Tamandua tetradactyla: one gene and its partners. The protein of the gene in region 2 interacts with the protein of the main gene of each other region in a pairwise test. Links are inferred from orthologs where the notes say so. Each region holds a gene or a part of one and is shown on either strand. Other genes may lie near its edges.

Region 1 (6,835 bases), on a different chromosome or scaffold from region 2:
GTCCTCCAAGTCTTTTGTTCTTTTTCAAGATGGTTTGGGTTTCAAGACCCCTTGCAGTTCCACATAAATTTGAGGATGTGTTTTTCCACTTATGAAAAAAAGGCTGCTGAAATTTTAATAGGGATTGCATTGAATTTGTATGTGGCATTAAGGAATATTGACATATTTACAAGGCTAACTCTTCCAATCCACAAACATGAATGTCTTGCCATTTACTTAAGCATTCCTTAATTTTTTTAGTAGTAGTTTATAGTTTTCAGTATACAAATATTTTGTATCCTTAGTTAAATTTATTTCTAGATAGTTTATTTATTTAGATGCTATTATAAATGGAATTGTTTTCTTAATTTCCTCTTCAGATTGTTCCTTACCTGCATATAGGAACACAATTGCTTTTTGTATGTTGATCTTATATCCTCTCACTTTGTTGAATTCATTCATCAGCTCTAATAGTTTTTTTGTGGATTCCTTTAGGGTTTCTGTATATAAGATTATGTCTGCAAGTAAAGTTGATTTTACTTATTCTTTTCAAAAAAAAAAAACTGTATCAGATAAATGTTTGTTGTTTTAAGACACCAAACTTGGGGGTCATTTGTTACGCAGCAATGAAAACTAACACAACTGATAACGACAGGCCCATGCTCCCACCTCAGGGCCTTTGCACTTGCTGTTCCCCCATCTAGAACTTTCTCCTCCCAGATATCCGCATAGCTCCTTCCCTCCCTTCCTTCAGGTCTCCCCTCAAATGTCACTTCCTGTGACCCTCCCCCACCCCCCATTTCTACATTTCCCCATCCTCTTATTCCAGCTCCTTTTTCAGTTTAGGATTTATCACCCCCCTTCATATTATGTATTTGTGTCTTGCCTGTCCCCCGCCCTGGAACACCAACTCCAGAAGGGCCAGGATCTTTGTTTTCTTCACTGCTGTATCTACCATGCCTGGAACAGCATCTAGGAACAGAATAGGTGCTCAAAGTCACGGCTGTCTTTCTTAGAATCTAGCAGACCTGATTTGAGCCAGGCCTGGATCAGACCCTGTTTCCTGCCCACCCAGTACCCACCCTGCTCAGGGGATGGGACACGGCTGTGACCTTACCCTCCACCGAGACAGATTACTAATTGGTAACTCTGACGGGAGAAGTCCATGGGTCTCAGGGTCCATCCTCACTTCCCACTACCCTCAGGATAAAGTCCCAGTACAACTACAGGCGCCTCTCTTCACCTGAAATCCCACCCTCCAGCCACAAAGACCATGAACTGCTTGCACTTCACTTACAGAAGCCTGCAAAGTGGGGGTGCACCACCCCACAAACCAACCTTCGGGGCTCACGTAGAATACATTAGAACACCCCAATCTTTTAATCACCGCTTTTTGTTTTCCAATCTGCAGAATCTATTGGTAGAGTTGTATTTGCATGTAATTTATAAATAAAGAAACTTTCATATGGGGCTCAGTTTCAGCATTTTTACTGATTGGGGTGCAGAAAATTGAAGGAAAAAAAATGTTGGCATCTTTTACCCTAAAGCAATTCACCCACCCCACCCAAGGGACACTCGAGGATTTCTGTAGTCATTTGGGTTGACCGGGGTTCGGGGGGGCTTCTGGCATCTAGTTAGTAGAGACGAAGGATGCTGCTAAACATCCTACAAAGCACAGGGCATCACCGCTCCCCCCCCCCCAAGAACTATCTAGAACAAAATGTTAGTGTCCTGGCAGAGAAACTGCCTTAAAGCGCCAGGTTCTCAACTGCTTCTCTCAATTGTAACAGAGGCCCAGAGCCCCAACGAAGACCTCAAACTTCACGGACTCTGTACCAGCACCTCCTCCTCCAAGCAGCTATCTTTGGGGGGCCCTGGGCTGGGCTGGGCCGGTGCCTCTCCTTAGGGCTCCTTCGGCTCCAGGTGCAGGGTTAGAATCCTCCCGGCTCACAGGTTTCCCAACCTCCAGAGTGACAATGGAGATTCCCCAGAGTCCTTTCCCCCACCAGCGGGCTGTAGAACCGAGCACTTGAATTTTTAACAAGCACCCCCCCACCCCCTCCTCCGAGCCCCGAGCGCTTAGTCGGGTGACCATTTGAGGACCTGGCACCTGCGAGGCGCTGCCCAGTGCCCTAACTCAGGCCCTCGAGGCCCGACCTCCCGCTTTGCCCGCCCCCAGGATGTAGCCACTGTCAGCGCCCCCATTTTACAGAGGGGTAAACTGAGGTGGCGAGGAGGGCTCCGGCCAGCTCAGAGGCTCAGAACGGAAAGGGGATCCCAAGGCCTGGTTCCTCGGCGGGGAAGGGGAGACGGGGCGCAGCGGGGGCGGGGGGGCTCGGGGGCCCCGCCACGGCCCGGCGATGCGGCCCCGCCCCCACGAGGGACGTGAAGACGCGGAGCCCGCGCCGCGTGGGCACATGTGACCGACTGCAGAGGCCGCACCGGCCCCCTCCCCGCCCCGGGTTCGCGCGCTCCGCCGCAGGGCGCGGGTCCAGGGCGCCCGCCCGGGTTTGGGGCGCACGAGCCGGGGCGGAGCCAAGGAAGAGCCCAGGTGCCTCATTTCCTCTCCTACCTCCCCAAAGCCCAGAGAAACGAAAGCGAAAGAGGGGTTCAGGGAAGAAGGGCGGGGCCGGCCCCCAGGCCCCGCCCCGCCCTGCGCGGCATCCGGACCGCCGAGCGCAGCCAGGAACGGGGGACTGCCGAGCCGCGCAGCGCCGACCCTCGGGGAGCCCCGCGCCGCCGCCGCCATGTCCCAGGAAGGTGTGGAGGTAGGAGACGGCCACGGCTGCCCCGGGGGACCCGGAGAGTCGCCGGGGGGAGGAGCCGGGGCGCGCGGCGGGCTTCGCAGTTTCCCGGGGAACCCCCCCCCCCCCCCCGCTCCATCCTGAACCCAGACCTTCCCCCCCGGGCTGGCCCTCGCTCCCCCCTCAGGAAGGAGAGTGACCGCCGCGCCTCACCCCGGGGTCAAGCGGGGGCTGCAGGGTCAGGGGTCAGAGTTCAGAGCCAGGGACTCCCTGGCCAGCATCCCTCCTAAACCCGGGACGCCGCTCCTCGCCCTCCCCTGCCCCCAGTGCCCTGTAGGGACTTTGGATTTTTCCAGGAAGTGCGTGGAAGGAGGGGGAGGCTGGGGGGGGGCGGCCAGGCCAAAAGCAAGGGTCAAGTTCAGGGCGGGAGAGCGCTGCCTAGGGTTGGTGGAGGGGCGAGCGCCCCTCGCCTCCCCCAACGCAGCCTCCCCCACCCTCACCCCCGTGCCCCACTCCAAGCTGGAGAAGAGCTCCCGGCGCCTGCGGGAGAAGTTTCATGGGAAGGTCTCCTCCGAGAGGGCGGGGGCTCTGATGCGGAAATACGACAGCGACCACACCGGTGTGGGGCGCTCCATCGTGTACGGTGAGGGGGCTGGGGGGGGGGCTGGGTGATGTGGAGGAAGCGCCGAGAGGGACCTGGCCTGACTGAGGGAGGGAAGAGGCGTTGAGATCACCTGCTGGGGGCCCCAGCCTTGGGGAGGGTCTGTGCTGCAGGGGGTCTGGGGGAGGGTGGCCTAAAACATCCCCAGACTCTTCAAGGGCCCTTCACTTACACCTGCTGTCTCCACCAGAGGTGAAGCAGAAAGACGGAAAGGAACTAAGCAGTGACCTGGAGACCCAGGTAATCTGCTCCCTCCCTTCAGAGGCGGGGATAATGGGGGCGGGGAGGGCAGAGGGACCAGCCCAGCCACCCAGAGCTCCCCCCCTCCAAAGCAGAAGGAACTGGGCACTGCCAGTCCACAACTCGTGGTCCAAATTTATTTGCTTATTTACCTCTGTATTTGTGTCCGGCCAGGGAGTTGGCAAACAGCAGGCGCTCGATATGTGCGGATTGGATTAAAACGGGGAGGCAGTGACAGGAGCCAGAATTAATGCCATCCTGGGGTGGGGGGTTGTGAGAAGTCAGGGAAGGCTTCCTGGAGGAGGTGATGCCCCGTCTTAAAGGATGGCAAGCAGTGAGCCCTGCAAAGAGGAGGGGACGGATCGCGTCCGGAAAGAAGGATGGTGTGAGAAAGGAAACTGAGAGGGGCATTCATTCCTGGAAAGACTGGGGTGAGCAGGAGATGGGGGAGGTGAGGCGGCCGGGGAGCTCGTGTTTTGAATGAATGAATGGATGGATGGATGGATGAAAGGCTTTGAAGCACGCAGCTGCTTTGCCTTTTCGAAACAGGGCTTTGGTGGTTGGTAGACTGGATTTTACCAGCCTAAAAGGCACAGCGTAGAGTCATAAACCTGTAATAAAAACCAGGCACCGGGATTAGCACTTCCCATGTGGCAGGGCTGGAGGAATCTTACATGTGTTGATTTATTTCAGCCTCACAGCGGAGCCCAGGAGTTAGGTTCTATTACTTATTGTTCCCATTTCACAAACAAGGAAACTGAGGTCCAGAGTGATGACGTCAGTTGCCAGGCAGATGGGCGAGTGGGTGGCAGCTGGGATTCGAACCCTGCCCACCTGGAGGCAGAGTCTGAGCTCTGAGATGCAACTTAAGGAACCACGGCCCGCAGCTGGAAGTGGTGGAGCCGGGATTCGAACCTGCGGCTCTGGGAATCCCGGGCTTTGCAAGGCTGCTGCAAGGAGGGGGACCTGTCTCCGGGCCAGCCAGGGTGTGGCTGGGGAGGCGGCACTCACAGTGGAAGATGGTGTTGGTGGGCAGGGTGGGAGCGCGGGGTCTCTAGTTCTTGGCCTCAGTTTCTCCATCTGAGCCATGGGGATAACAGGTGTGCACACCTCTAACTAATGGAGGTGCAAGTGGATGTTGCTCGTCGTGAGTCGGGGGCACCCCCATCTTCATGCTGGGCTGGGGCCCTCCTCCCCCGCCTTCCCCCACCACCCCTGCTCCGGGAACCCCAATTGTAGGAGCTCCTCATTTCTCTACCCAGGACCCCCCTGAGGACATGAAGCAGGACCAGGACATTAAGGTGAGTCGGCACCTGGCGCAGGTCTTGGGGGGGATGTGTGGGGGCACCCATGGCGGACGAGGCGGAGGGGGGCCCTGGGGAGGGGTGGAGGAGCAGCCTCTGCTGTGAGGAGGTGTCTGGGGGAAGGAGGAGTGAAGTCGGTCACGAGGGCAGAAGACAGTGGTCAGGGGAGGGGTGACCCCTGCAGAGGGAGGAGAGGTGACCCCCCCGCCTCCGTCCCCCCCCAATTCCGCAGGAGGTGGCGACGTCCCTGCTGCCGCTGACGGTAGCCAACCTGCGCATGTTCCAGCGGGCGCAGGAGGACCTCATCCCGGCCGTGGACCACCAGTTCGCCTGCTCCAGCTGCGACCATGTCTGGTGGCGTCGCGTGCCCGAGCGCAAGCAGGTGAGACCCGGACTCGCGACCTTGACTCGCTCCCGAACTTGGCTCCCGGCCCCCATCCTCGGCGCCTGGCCCTCTGACCCGAGGACATCCATGTCGGAGAGCCTGGCTCCTGACCCCTGACCCCTGACCCCTGACCTCCAAGGTCCACCTCGGCCCTAAATCACTAACCCGGAGCTGGACTTATGAGCTTTTAATTGGAGAAGCCCCAGAGCCTGAACCCCGAATTGCACAGTTGGAGGCTGCGCCCCGCCCCCTCCCCCCCCCCCCCCCCCCCCCGCAAATCAAGCTTTACCCCAAAACCACAACCCCACATCTGACCTCTGGGCCCCCTGACAATTTAAGCCACAAAAGCTTAAGGATGGACCTCTGGAGAGAGGAGCCCTGATCTGTAAGGCTGGTCTGTCTCCCTGGTATAACTACTCCCCTTGTGGCCAGTTCGGGCCCAGCTCGGGACCCCGCCTGGGTGACAGCCAGCCCGCTCCCCACGCCCCCCCGCCCCCCCCCCCCCCCCAGCTGTCCCGGTGCAAGAAATGCAAGAAGCGCTACAAGCCGGTGCCGGAGGACAAGATGTGGGGCCTGGCCGAGTTCCACTGCCCCAAGTGCCGGCACAACTTCCGGTGAGGGTGCCGCCCCCCCCCGCCCTGTTCCCCCCCAGCCCCGCCCCCCGCCCCGTGGCCCCCTGACCCTCACAGCCCTGCCACCCCCAGGGGCTGGGCACAGATGGGGTCCCCGTCGCCCTGCTACGGGTGCGGCTTCCCCGTGTATCCGACGCGGATTCTCCCCCCACGTTGGGACCGGGACATGGTGCGCCGTAGCAGCCACACGCATTCCTGCTCGGCGGCCGATTGCTACAACCGGCGAGGTGAGGGCCTGGCGCCTTCTGTGGCCTCCCTCCCTTCCCCCCACCCCACCAGGGCCAGCTCAGCGGCGGGGGCACCCCCCCCCCGTGATGTCCCCCCGCCCCCACTGTGGCTCTCAGCGCTGGGGTCTCCACCTGTTGCTTCCTCCTCTCTCCCCAGGTCCCGGGGTCCGGGGCTTCCACCCCTCCCACCGCCCGCCTCTCGGGGTCTCACTGGGAGGCCCCGTGGTGGCACAGAGTGGCCCACTGTCCCCATGGCCTCTGTGCCCCTGTCCCCTGGGTCTCTTCGGACCCCCATGGGGCCTCATCACCTCTCCCTCCCCAGAGCCCCACATGCCCGGGACATCCTGCGCGCACCCCAAGAGCCGGAAGCAAAACCGCCTCCCCAAGGTCCTCTACCCCAGCGACCCCCACATCAGCAGTGGCTCCACAGTGGCCACGTGCCTGAGCCAGGGGAGTCTCCTGGAGGACCTGGACAGCATCATCCTGGAGGACCTGGAAGAGGAGGAAGAGGAGGAAGGGCAGGGAGAGGAGGAGGAGAAGGGCGGGCACGGGGCGTGAGCCCTGGCCAGTGCAGACAGCAAACCAGACACGTTCTGTGGCCACTTTGTGTTGTCATAAAATTTGAGCTCAAATTGAGATATAAAGTGCCCTTGGGTCTGAGAG
Region 2 (6,835 bases):
GCTTTGCATCCCTCCTTTAAGAAGATCCCTTGGCGCATTCGGGAGTGTTGGCCTCGGCTGCGCATGGGGGAAAGCAGGATTCTCTACATCAGCCCTTCATTTTCAGCCTCTTGGTGACTCTGGGGGATTTCGTGGCTGGTTGGGTGGTACTTGCCTGTGGTCCTCCTTTTCTAGGAGGCCCTGGTAGGTGGCGATCTCGCCCTCCAGCCGGGCTTTAGTGTCCAGCAGCATGTGGTACTCGTGGTTCTGCCGCTGGAGGTCACCGCGGATTTCGGCCAGCTGGGCCTCCACGTTATCAATCAGTCCCTGCACCCGGGCCAGCTGGGTGCTGTAGCGGGCCTCGGTCTCTGCCGCGGTGCATTCCAGAGAGTCTGTCTGCCGTAGAAAATTCAAAGGGTAAAAGGACAGGGTAGCCCAGCCTCCAGGCCCAGCATCCCTGTTCCGCTCCACCTTTTTCTAGTTATGTGACCTTGGGAAAATTACTTAGCTTCTCTGAGCCTCAATTATATTATTATAGTATAAATAAAATGCAGAATGCAAAGTACTTAGCTCATAGGATGATTGTGAGGTTTAAATGAGTTAGTATGTGTAAAGCACTTAGAACAGTGCCTGGAAAGGTTTTAAGGGCAATTTATCAAGCTCTCCCTTGTTAAGCTTAGTTTAACATTGTTTTGTTTTTTTGCGCCCAGGTTTCTCTGAAATCCATGTTCTACAACCTGCACATTAGCTGTCACACCACCTCTAGGACAGCCACAACCTACAACGTTCTGCTGTAGCTTAAGGAGGATGACCAGTGTTTTTGAGAGGAAATGTTGAGTGTGTGCTCCTGGCAGGGTGGGGCTGCACTACAGCGTGGTTAAGAAACGAGGCTCCGGGGTCTACCCATCTGGTTCAGCTTCTACATCTGCCTCTTAAAGTTGTACGATCCCCTGTAGTCACTTAATCTGATACTCAGTTTTTCTCGTCTGCGTCATGGAGTTCGTGAAGATATCTACCCCATAAGTATTGTAAGGATTAGATCAGCATGGCGGCTCTTGTGAGACTGACGCTTGGCTATTATTCACCTGGATACTCTCCATAACACCTAACATGATGTATGCCTGGTTCCTGACCGGAACTGGCTGATGTAATTTCTTGGATGCCTGATATTCAGGTTGCTTGGTTGGGGTGGGGTGCAGTGAAGTGTCAGGCGGAGGCATGGATCCTAGGGGCTTTAGGATAGCGTTGAAAGTATAAAAGCTTGAAAAGCATTTTTTTGTTTTTGTTTTTGCTTTAGAAATGAGGGTCACATGGAAAATTGGCCCAGATCAAAAAAAGCATTAAAACCTTTTGGAATTCTTGAGTGCCTTTGGCTGATAGGTCCCCTACCCTTCTCTGCTCCTGCCCTCTCCCTCTTTCTCTGACTCTGGCTCGATCATGCCCAAGACCATGCTAGCCAAGGCGTCCTGCTGGGGCAGGACAAGCTGTTGACCTGTGACTTCTGCTAGCTGACAGCATGCTCAGGAAAGGCAAGGAAATGTAGACCCTGCAAACTGGAAATTCAGAACTTTTGCTATATGAATGTGAGTTTCTCCCTTGGGTTATGGAAGAGAGGACAGTATCTCCCTGGACTATCTCAGGGCCTGATTCATTTGTGACAAAACAGAAGCTGACTTTCCCTTGCGCACCAGATTCTCCTGGGCTTGGAGCTCAATCTCCAGAGAGCTTGCCGAGCGTTTCAGTTCCAGGATCTCCGTCTGGCAGCTCTGCAGCTGCTCTGCGCTGGACAGCTGCTGCTGATTCACCTCCTCCATCTGAAACACAGGGGTGATTAAAGAACACAAAGAAGGCAAGAGTCTGGAAGCCTGTCATTCTCCTGCTGCAGGTGCCCACCTGAGCAGCGAACCATTCTTCCACATCGCTGCGGTTGCTGGCGAGCACCACTTCATACTGACAGCGCATCTCATCCAGGGCCTTGCTGAGGTCAATGGCTGGGGCAGGTTCCAGCTCCACACTGAGTCGGTCACCAAGCTGTTCAGCAAGCAAGCTGACCTCCTGAAAGTGGAAATGGAGTCGAGAATGTCACCGCCTGATGGGGCGGGGGTGAGGAATCAGTTTGACAGAATTCTTTCCCAGTGGCAGCCCATTTCTGGTTTTTGGAGTTGTAGTTAAAATTGTGGGATTTAGTTTCAAATCGACTGGGTTGAATCTCTTCTCACCACTTAGAAGTCCCTTTTTATCTTCATCTGCAATATGGGTATAATAATTTTGTCTTTTCCAAAGTGTTAGTGTGAGATATGTGAGCGTTTACTATATATACAAAGAACTTATAAAAGCCCTGGCACATAGTAAGAGCTCAATAAATGTTAACTATTATTATCATCAGCAAATGTTCAGAGGTAAAATGTACTTTGTTGCATCAGTTTTTCATTTTCCAGCTTCATCAATAAGGGACAAATGCAGAACATTTGAAAATACCGATCCAAATATTGCATGAATCTTTATCCCCCTTTTTGAAATAGATTTCATTGCCTGTGTTCATCAACCTGATTTTTGTAGACTGGAGTTGGCATGAAGCCTCCAAGGAAAGCCATTTACAAAGTCATTTACTTCCTCCACAAAAAGCAATGGCAAGAGGAGAGTTTGGACCCTTCACATGGTACTGGCCAGGAGCTATTCCCTGTCCATATTCAGACACAAATTGGAATGATCAGGCTGAATAGCCATAGTGCCCTCAGGTAATTTTGTTCCAGCTTAAGCAACATCTACCCAAGTTCAACTTGAATACTTGAACATGAAATCTTAAACTTTGTTGTTCTCAGAGTCTTTCAGCCACCTTGCCAGTTTCCTCACCTCTTCGTGGTTTTTCTTAAGGCAAAGGAGATCATCCTTCAGGGACTCCACCTGCACCTCCAGGTCAGATTTGCACAGGGTCAGCTCGTCCAGGATCCTACGTAGGCCACCGATGTCTGTCTCTTCCAGCTGGTGAAGAGACAGTTCAGCCTCGTACCTTTCATAACAAAAGACGGACACATCCAATGCTTACTCTGCCAGGTGCTGTGCAAGCCCTGTGGGCGTACAGGTGAATGACACGTGAACTCAAGGGAGCCACATGCTGTCATTTACTTCATATCCCAAATAACTATAAATTACAGGTTTGTGAGCATTAGTAGCTTAAAAATATTTGTGCTAAATGTGTGTGTGTGTGAGAGAGGGAGAGACAGAGAAACCATAAATAATTTTCAAATTCAAATTAAACTTACTTTGACCTAAAGTCATCGGCAGCTAGTTTGCAGTTGTCAAGCTGTACGGCAAGTCTGGAATTCTCTGCCTTTGTGCACAAGATCTGGGAAGTAAGTTATTATGTAATAAATGATTATTTGCATGAAACTTAACCATTCATTTAAAATCAATGAAATTATGTATCTTTTAACAATCTGTTTAAGACAGTATAGCTTTCAATTAACTATTCATTTAAAATCAATGCAATTATGTATCTTTTAACAATCTCTTTAAGACAGCATAGCTTTCAATTTATTGCTTTTCTCTATATATGTTATTTTTCACAATAAAAATAATGTTAAAAAAAAGAAAGTATAGCTTTCAGCCTGCTTTTCTGATGAACTATGTCACTCACGACTATATACCCATCCATGGTAATAGAAATTTATCAGTAAGAGAAGAAAAAGGCTACCAGGTGAAATCGTTTGATTAAAAAGATGACAGTGAAGATTCTGTTTAAATATAAATATACAGTGTTAAATACAGAAGTAGTTTTAGACATACTACAGTTTTTTCTCATTTTATAGAAGATAACAGTTAAGCTTACAGCTAAGTGACTATATTATGGTCACTTAATTAATTAGTGGCAGTGCTGGGGCTAGTGCTGAGGTTTCCTGACTCTTTGCCCAGAGATCTTTCCACGTTAGCTCTTGGAATTTCCCTCTCCTTTGATTTCCTTTCATCAAACAGCCTCTTCTAGACTGAAGATGAAGCAAATCACTGGGAGGGCAGAGGAATTAGGGCAGCAAAACACCAAACCTTTTGCTGGAGATCTTCAATGGTGTTGAAGTAACGCTGATAATCAGGACACACCAGTGGGATTTCCTGGTCACACTGCTCTCGGATCCTGCCCTCCAGCTCTGCATTGGCCTCTTCCAGGCCGTGCACCTTCTCCAGATAGCTGGCGAGCCTGTCATTCAGGAACTGCATCGTCTCCTTCTCATTGCTATTGAAGACCCCATCCTCACACCAAGCACAGGTCCCCACCAAGCATGGACTGTTACGACTCCCAGCAAAGTAATATGGCTTGAAGCAATGGGTTGGCAGGTGAGACCTGGACTGGAAGCCAGGGGTCTCGCATCTGGAGGTGGAGTAGACCTTGGGGAGACAAGCTGTTTCCACGGAGCAGGTTGAAACAGATGGAAAATCAGAAGCCCTAGGACAGGGTTCAGTAGAGCAGCAAGTGGGGGCATGGTCAGAAGTCATCCTAGTAGAGATGAAGAACAGACAGTATTTGCAAAACCCAAGTGACCTGACTCCAGAAGTCTCCTTCCTTTCTGAGACTTTTATATGTCCCCCACAAAATGGGTATTTACAGGTCTCACCAGATGTTTTCTTTATCACTGTTTGTGCTAGTTTTCCTAAGAACATTTCATTAGTCTTGTTTATTTACTGAGGAAGAGTTTTATGCCTCATAAAAGAAGGTTAACTTCAGGTTACTAAATCAGAACTTATACTGTTTCCATGTGCTAGTAGGATAAAATACTTGGTTGCAGAAAATCTGCACAGGAGCACTATCCTTTTGACAGAATAAGGAAAGAAAGAAAATTTGGCCAATTTGTAACTGATTTAAATAAGGAAAATATTCCAATGGATTTTGATCATGTTCATTTAAAATTTGTTTCTCTCTTAAAATTAATATTGCAACTCATTAAATGCCATTTATTTGTTTGTGCCACCAATATTAAAATATTCATTGTGATTAGCCATTTTTGTAATGCTTTTTGCAATCTTGAATTGGCATACGTGCTTGCATGGTAGAGAAGTGAGGCATGCACTTGTGTGAAGTGTGTATGTGTACGTGTGTGTGTGTGTGTGTGTTAACCATATCGCTCTCTGTGAAAATTGAAAGATCACATTGCCTAATTGTTAGGCATAATTTGTGCCCTGTAGGCCAAAATATAAATTGATTATCTGGAACTGAAGTTATAAATCTTGATTTGTTGGAACTTGCCTTTTCTGTACATTCTATATGTCTCATTTTTTAGATCAGGGGAACTATTATTATTATTATTTTACCTTGGAAATACCTGTAGGTTACTTAGGCACTTCTGATAAGAGTGAAATATAAATTCTAAGTTACTATCTTTTAGGTGCTTGGGAAATCTTCAATGATTGCGCTTAGAATATGGGCAAGAAAGCTACAGGAAACGTTTCTTCTGATATGGAATCTGCTTTCTCTTATTTATTTTTTTCAAAGGCCTCAATTTAATGAAAATTAAAAATACTGGAACTTGGGAATAAAAATTTTATGTTGTCGGTTTCATGATGAATCCCTCGTGGATGGAGTCTCTAAGGGATAGGGACTTGAGATATAACTTTTTTTGATTCTCTTTTTAATCTCACCTCCACTTTGAAGCTTTATCTATCCCACTTTGCTTGGCTTTAACTGCGGTATTTCTTTCATTTTCAGAGGTAACACAGAGCAAATTGCCTCCAGAATCTTTGAGATCCTTACAAGAAAAAAGCCTTATAAGAAAAAAAAAATTCATAATCCAGGACAAATTCATTTTTTTCTAACTCTAAATCTTGCTTCCTAGATATCTGATGATGCAAAAACAAAAACAAAACAAAAACAGGAGACTGTGAATAATGGATTTAAATAGTCTGTTAGGACTTACTCTTCATCGAACAAAGTTGTATTTGATTTTAGTGATTCTCTTTACATTTCAACACCTATGCAAACATTCTTAGAGTACCTCATAATATTTTTTAGTGCAATTTTATTGAGATATATTTACACACTGTAGAAACCATCTGAAGTATTCAATCACTGGCTTACGATATAATCACATAGTTGGGCATACATCCCCATGATCAAATTTAGAACATTTTCATTACTACTAGAAAAGAAATAAAAATAAAAAAGAAAATTCTTATATACCTCATAATATTTTGATGCTGTTCTGAAAATGAGATGAGTTAAAAAATTCAAGACCTTATTAGAGCAGAAAAAGTTCTGGTCTGGATAATTCACAATCTGTGATCTGGATAATTCACAATCTGTGATGGTTGTGCATGTACTTAATGTCATGGAATTGTATACTTTAAAATGGTAGATGTTATGTTTATTTTGCCACAATACAAATGTAGGTGTTAATAAAGTTACATATATGAAACAAAAAACATGATCTGAAGAAAAATTACAAACCCATAGTACTCTGATGAGTCAGAAGAGAAATATCCTGGAAGAGAATCTAGGACTTGCTTGTCCATCAGTGTATCCAGTTAATTAAAATGCAGCAATGTGTCATTATTTTCAAGTCGCAGGTAAAGTAAGACATTTCCTTTTGTCTCAACGTAATTTCTATTTGCAAAATGTTGATTACTGTTATTGTATATAAACACCAAGAAGGGCTGTTTATTTTGGCTTTGATTAGTTAATGCAGTGTTGTGTGATGGCCTGTAGCTATCATTCTTAGCTTACAAGGAAATTGCCCAGAATTGTTTTTATAGTATATCATCCTCAGAGGAAGGGACATTGGGAATGGAGAAAAATAAATAGATGTCATGGCAAGTCATGATAAAAACACAATTATTTTGATTTGTAAAATGCTCTTACCCCAGAACATTC
Region 3 (6,835 bases), on a different chromosome or scaffold from region 2:
TCGCCTGCCATGCTGGAGACCTGGGTTCGATCCCCAGTGCCTGCCCATGCAAAAAAAAAAGTTAAACTCGTGGATCTGGGTATCTAGGGAGAGTTATGTTTTCTGTATGGGCCCTGGATCATTTTTGCAACTCTTCTGTAAGGTTGAAAGTATCTCCAAATAAAAAAAGTTAAAAAGAAAATAGTACTCGGGCCTGACAATTAGAGAGAGAGAGGGAGAGAAGGAGAGTGGAAGGAAAGGAGAAAAAAAGGATCGTTCAAGAGCAAATGCAATTCACATTCAGTATGAAAAAAATATTGGCAGCAAAACAGGAAAGGCATGCTCCCTTAAGAACAACTGCAAATGATGTCCATGGTGAGAAACATCAGAATACCAAAGAAATAGGCAGACACCTCTGATGGCACCAAAATTAAGGTACAATGTGAGAAACCTATGAACTACTGATTGAGAAAAGCAAGTTTTTCCATAGGCAGATGAAACAGTGGAGAAAATGTTATGAAAAACACACAGTGGTTTTTACATGGGAACCTCAAATTGCCTTTGCAAAAGGAGATCGATATTGATTTGAAATCTGTTATCACTACAATTCAGCCCTGGAAAGGAAAGGTGAGGTAAGGTAAAAGCTCTTCTAATAGCAGATACAGGAGTTAAACTCTGTCTGCACGCCCTACAACCTCAACACCTGGTTGATGCCAAAGCCCATACTCTTTAGTCTCCCTAAAAGAAAGCAAAATATTTTTGTCATGAATACATGTGAAATTACTATCTCGGTTTTTTAAACAGAAATATCTGGAACACAATAAGATCTATTAAAAAGTTGGCAAGTGGCTAGGAATATGGTTATATAATCAAAAATATCTACCAGGTAAAACTCTGGTTTAGCATAATTTTTAACTGCATAGAATGTTTTGTCCTCTAATTTCTTGTTCGGTTGTCTTTAATTCTTTTATAATGAACACTGTGTCAATGCTCTAAATAAGGGTTCCATTTGGCCAAAATGATGAATCATATTTTTATTGTAATCAATGAATGACCATAGATATCCATTCCAAGAGCCAATAAATAATGCATTTAATTAATTTCCTTTTAAAATATAGAACCAAAGTGTGCATCATTCAACTGCTTGGACAACTGTGAAATTCACAAATTTGTTTTCTCAAATATAGCCAAAAAAGAGTTATAGCATTTCTTCAATTTGATCATGTAGATACATTATGGAAGATAATCTGTTAAAAATTTAAATAAATCCTCTAACGATGAAAATAATATAAGAACTCTTTAGTTTCAGAATTGGTCATGTTCTGAGCACATGAAATCCAATGTGATTTAAATTCCGTGAAGTACTTTTGCTTTTAATATTTAATTCAGAATTTCTACCAATTTCAAAAATGACATAGAAACCAAAAGAAGGAAAAGCAATAGATTGCCATAGAGCTTATATTTAAGTCATTGAGGAGAAATAGTGCAATGTAATCTGAATTCTATAAAAATGAAAAAGAACTATTGTTAGTAATCAATCTAAATCACAAGTAGCCTAAGACATACAAGGATACTTAGTAATTATGTGTTTATTTCTGGCTCAAGCAGTACTACATTTTTAAAACAATTGCACTATAAGTAAAAAGTCTTTTTGGAAGAAAGGGAAATAAATGTGTGACAATATTAAAAGTTGACATAGAATGTGTATAAAGAAAATTAACTTCATTGTCAGAAAACTTTAATTTAATCATTACAACACTGAATTATTTGATGCAGTACTCATTTTGCATACTAAGCCTACTCTTTAATTTAAAAATGTAACAATATAAATTTGAATGATAGGTTAATAGAGTAAGTCATTCAATGCTTGATTTCTTAAGAATATAGAGGAATATATGAACGTGTTAATAAAAAGAAGGTATGGTTTACAGACAGATGCAAAGTACGACTCCCTTAGTAGGTTATCATTGAGCAATAAAACTCACATTTACTGAGCTCAAGACATTTGATGAGATGTCTGAAGTGATGGTAGAAAGAATAGTGTAATTTAGGGTATGACTATTTTCTTTCATTAGGTCCATAATTCTCATAGCCCAGATGTGCTTGAACAGACAGCATTCCCTACAGTCTGCTAGCCATGTTGCCAGATATGGGGTATAAAATATTCTAATTTGTTCTCTTCCAAGCAATGAAAAAGTCACACCATCTAAAAGGAAATGGTACACACTCTACAATTACTATTACAGCCAGAGCTGTGAGTCACCCAGCTGCCTGCACAAGACAATTTGGCTACTGGAAAATCCTGATTAATGACATTTTTTTTAAACACCAGAGTAACAACTTGACCTGCCAAAACTGCCATTTATTTTCACCATGTTTGCCTTGGTTATCTATTACCTTTCAAGGAGAATATGAAGGAAGAAATGAAAATTGTGTTGTAATGTATTTTAACTTCAAATCTAACTGTTGTTCTTTCCAGTCAGGGAAAGAGTTTCTCAGAATTATGTCAGCTTTGAGACATGTGAAAGAGTCCTTACAAATGTGTACTCCTTCAAGCTATGTTGAGATGTTAAATTATTTTCTAATCACAAATATAATTAATTCGCCACCTACAAATAAGTGTTTTTTAAATCATAGTCTAAGAAATCAGATATACAGTTCCACTGTGATACAGGGGGAGCTGTATGAAGGCCACCAAGGAAGTATTTCCTCAAGGAAGTCCACTTCTTAAGTGCCTAATCGTGGGTTTCGCCTACCTCTAAGACCCGAAATGACAGAGGAGGGGGGAAAAAAGCAGTTGTGCTTTACATTTCGAGCTCTAAAACCACCCATAGTACATACTGGCAGAGTTAAAAGACACAGAGATTGAATTCAATGCCGATCGCTTGATTTTTAATCAATACAAGACAAGCCCCCACTAATAAATCACGAATTCCTAATTCGAAGCCTTTGCCTGAATCGCCTTCTATTTCAGAGACGCAACATACAGGCAGCTGGAATAAAATTACCTAAGAAGTGCGGAAGAGCCAAAAGGAAGAGTAGATGCTTTTCAGTTTCCGATGGCAAATAAACCAGCCAACACGTTCTCTACTCCCCGCTCTCCCCGCATTCTCTTTCCCTCACTCTCCACCTGCAAATCTCTTCTGCTCTCCTCTCTAAAGCTCTTTGCCCTTTCGCTCCTCTTCTCATCTCCTTCAACTCTTGTCTTTAAGAGTCCGCCCCTCCCCATCTCAGCACCCCAAGTCCAGTTTGCTCCAAGCCTCTCAGTACCGCACGCCCGGTGCAAGGACGGGTGGGGTGGGGGTGTGGAGAGACGCCCTCATCCCAAAGCAGGCACACCTGGCCGCGCTAGGCAGCGCGCCGGTCCCTGCCGCCCCCCACCCCCTCAGCGTGCCAGGGCTGTAATAATTACATCCTCATTATTTCTCCAGCAAACGTTAGCGAACAAGCCTGGAGAACAGCAACAGCCGCGGCCGGGGGAGGCTTAGTTACAAAATCCTGCACTGGGTAGCACCTCGCATAGCAACCATCCTTAAAAAAGCCCCCGTGCTCCTCGCACACACTTGGAAAGCGGGGCGGCTGCCACCCCCTCCAGGCGTGCACACCCGCGCGCAGCCCCTCCGCCCTCCCACCCCACCCCACCTCCTCGCGGAAACCGCTGCAACCCCGGCAGAAATCGCCCCCTGTCTCCCCCTCCTCCCCGCCCCACGACGACCACACGCGCAGCCTGGGCTCCCCCAGCACGTTTCATTCATTCTCAATTCCCGTCGGCGTTTTCCCACCTCAGCAATGGCAAGGATGTGGAAAGCAGGGGGTGGAAAGGGGGGGCGGATCTGTGTGGGGTAGGGAATTTTTTTTTTTTTATTTGAAATGCAGTTTGCTAACCTCCATCCCCACCCCACCCCCATACCCTCCAAGCTACCACCAGCGGTTTGAAGCCCCCTCGCTAGCCAGCTGTTCCTAGGTCTCGCCTGTTCCCTCCACCCCGCAGCTGGGAATTTCACACCTCAGGCAGCGCCGGGTTCCCTGCGTCCGGCTCGTTCCACACTATGGAGCCCAGGGTCCAGGAGACCCTCGCGCCATCACCAGCTACGTGCGCAGCCAGATCGAGTCTGGACCCGTGACGGGGGGTGCGGAATGAAGCTTCCCCTGTCCCCAGGGCCTGAAACCCTCCTCCCCCAGGGACTCCCGAGGTGCTTGGTGGCCGCCAGGCTGCCCTTCGGGGTCCTACTGCTCCCCGACACTCGCAGCGCTCGCTCCTGCAGCCCAGGACTCCTGGGACCCGCGGAGGAGACCCCCCGCGTGGCATCGGCGGACCCACGCTGCCCGGCCGCTCCGGGGTCTCCCGGGCTCAACTCCAGTCCCAGAGGGTTCGTGCGAGGCGGAGTGGGCAGCACATCCCTAATCCAGCCCGGGCGCCCCTGAGCCGCCACCCCCAGAAGGGGCAAAAGACGCCCACCGGCTCCCTCCCGAACCTCCGCACACCGCCCCCACTTCCCCGCGCCTAAGGCTCGCCACGATAGGTTTTCCAAGAGTCCTTGAGACTTTGCAGCTCCCAAGCTACACCAAACTGTGCCTGCTCCCGGTGCAAACTCTCAACGTGCCCAAGACGGTGACCAGAAGCCGGCGACCCGAGCACCATCGAACCCAGGGTGCTGCGCAAACCACCTCCTTGTGCCTCGACGGCACTCCCCAGCCCTGGCTACTTTCTCCCCATTTCCCCTCTTCCTAGGTTCCGAGGGCCCCTCCAGATGAATGAGATTCGTACCTTTCTCAGCGCTGACATTCTCAGGCATTACTATTTCAGCAGGTTCTAGGTGACATGGTGAGGTGGCTGACCCCCTCAAGCCAGGTAAGCCGGGAAACGGCGCGCGGCCGCGGGAAGGTAACGCTGCTGGCTCGGGGCTGGAGACCCCGCGGTGCGGGCGCTGAGCGGCGTCCGGCTCCGCTACCGCTGCCGCCGCGCTGTCCAAGCCGCACTCCGAACCTCGCGCACGGGTTCTCACGGTCGGCGCCTGCGCACACTCGCGCCCGGAGAGGCACCGGCGCACTGGGGGGGCCGGCCCGCGCTGGGCTCCATCTAGAGAAGGTCCGGAGTCATTCGCTCTCCTAGCTTTGAAACTGTAGCGCAAAAGCTGCGGCTTCGCTCCCCCAACCTGATTGGGCTACTGAGCATGCCCGGTCCTAGCGCGGAAACCCCCAGAGGAGCGTTCAAATAGGAGTTTTTTGCCGGAGCTACCGAATGGAAAGCGGCAGCGCTTCCAATTCAACCAACTGTTGCACAAGGAAGCGGGAAGGGTCACTCGGGGACAGAGAGGGAAGAGGGAAGAGGCGGCTCCCGAGAAGAAGCCACCAGCGCTGGTCGAACAGATTCAACCGCTAGAAGCACTAACGAATTTTAAAAGCGCTTTGAAAGTTAGCTCTAAAATTCTGTAAACGTACACCTCGGCCCTTGGAAAGATTCATCCTACTCTGGACTAAGATAAGTGACACGCTGGGCGCATTCATATGAGGAAATAATTTATACTTTAAAGTCTGCTCGATACCCAAGATGCCCACTTCGTCGAGAGCGTAGAGGAGCACTGAAAACATAGGAGAAGGCATTTACTTGCAAAGGAATTTCACTCTAAAGGTATTGCAGGTGCTATAACATTCTTCTATTGTGAATGTAATAAAACTTAGCCTCCCACTATTTCCACGTGCGAACTTTCCAGTGCATGGTATTTCCAAGTGGGGTCTTCCCAAGAAAGAAGGACACCATGACATTCCCAAACTCCATACGCATTCATTCTTTTTTAATAAACGTGGGTTGAAAGACAACACACCCATCAGATGGAATCCTGCCGCCTTACTGCTTTGATTATCGGCCTCATACAGATGACTCAAGCCAAGGAAAAAGGAAGAATTAATTCAGTAGAAGTTGTGTTAATAACCTGCGGTGATCTGGAAAACTCAGCAACATTGAACATATTTTGATAGAGCCTAATTAAATATATGGAAATATGCTTCCAAGATCTGACAGCGATAAGAAAAGAAAATTATATATTATTATATAGTGATAACCAGAGACCTATTTTTTTTAGTTCCTGGCTCTATCGCCTGATCTTGAGCAAGTCTCTTAGCACAATTTTTAATACAGATATTACAATGGATTTTCCATATCTCTGAGTTATTGTGAAGTTTAAATGAGATACAAGGTGTGAATCCATAAAAAAGTAAAAATACCTAGGTGAGAGTTTATAGAAAAATAATGGATAGGGGTTAGAGTAGGAAAGTGAATCAGATGATCAAAGATATTTGAAACAAGATAAACCAATCGTTTCCAAAGTTACAAGATCTTCAAAGAAAAACACTGTTGTATAAGATTTCTTCATATAATGAACACTCAAATATTAACCAATTGCAATTTATTTTCAAAACAAAGATCAAATACTGGGAGATACAAAGATGAATCTTGTGCTGAATTTGACCACAATCTAACTTCTCCCAAGTGTTTCTTTAAAACAACTTTCAATTCATCTCCACTTTTGGAAACAGATTGATGAATTGTGAGTGCCAAACCTCAACCAAAACTCTAAATTCTGGAAACGACTTTTTAAAATTGTAAATCCCTTTACTTTCCTCCTCCCCATACTTGTCCCCATCCATCTTTTTTTATTTTAATTTATTTATTCACTCATACATCAGCAACCACAAAAATGTATTGAATGCCTATCATATGCTCTCAATATTTATGTAAGATAGAAACCGAGAAACAGTCACTGGCCTTATGGAGCTTACAGTCTAAAAAGGGAGTCATTTTAAAATACTGCATAAGTGACATATATTTACAAATCCTTCTCTAAAAGAAAAGTAC

The links.
Region 1: the proteins of KRT40 (region 2) and SHFL interact in binary tests that used the Homo sapiens proteins (3 or more experiments, as listed by UniProt). The two-hybrid records come from large-scale screens. The link is inferred for Tamandua tetradactyla from reciprocal best matches to the Homo sapiens genes KRT40 and SHFL.
Region 3: the proteins of KRT40 (region 2) and DLGAP2 interact in a two-hybrid assay, tested with the Homo sapiens proteins (2 studies listed by BioGRID). The link is inferred for Tamandua tetradactyla from reciprocal best matches to the Homo sapiens genes KRT40 and DLGAP2.

Annotation. Positions count from the first base shown.
Region 1 is NC_135337.1:91,633,946-91,640,780, reverse strand, and holds the start of SHFL (shiftless antiviral inhibitor of ribosomal frameshifting protein), read left to right. Parts: upstream 1-2,615; 5' UTR 2,616-2,726; coding exon 2,727-2,747; intron 2,748-3,242; coding exon 3,243-3,366; intron 3,367-3,574; coding exon 3,575-3,624; intron 3,625-4,886; coding exon 4,887-4,925; intron 4,926-5,160; coding exon 5,161-5,310; intron 5,311-5,823; coding exon 5,824-5,927; intron 5,928-6,017; coding exon 6,018-6,172; intron 6,173-6,494; coding exon 6,495-6,730; coding exon of another isoform or gene 6,731-6,835.
Region 2 is NC_135332.1:26,434,064-26,440,898, reverse strand, and holds the start of KRT40 (keratin, type I cytoskeletal 40), read right to left. Parts: upstream 4,468-6,835; coding exon 4,021-4,467; intron 3,326-4,020; coding exon 3,243-3,325; intron 2,990-3,242; coding exon 2,833-2,989; intron 2,035-2,832; coding exon 1,873-2,034; intron 1,794-1,872; coding exon 1,668-1,793; intron 376-1,667; coding exon 155-375; intron 1-154. UniProt on the Homo sapiens protein: May play a role in late hair differentiation.
Region 3 is NC_135329.1:41,808,677-41,815,511, forward strand, and holds the start of DLGAP2 (disks large-associated protein 2), read right to left. Parts: upstream 4,911-6,835; 5' UTR 4,748-4,910; intron 1-4,747.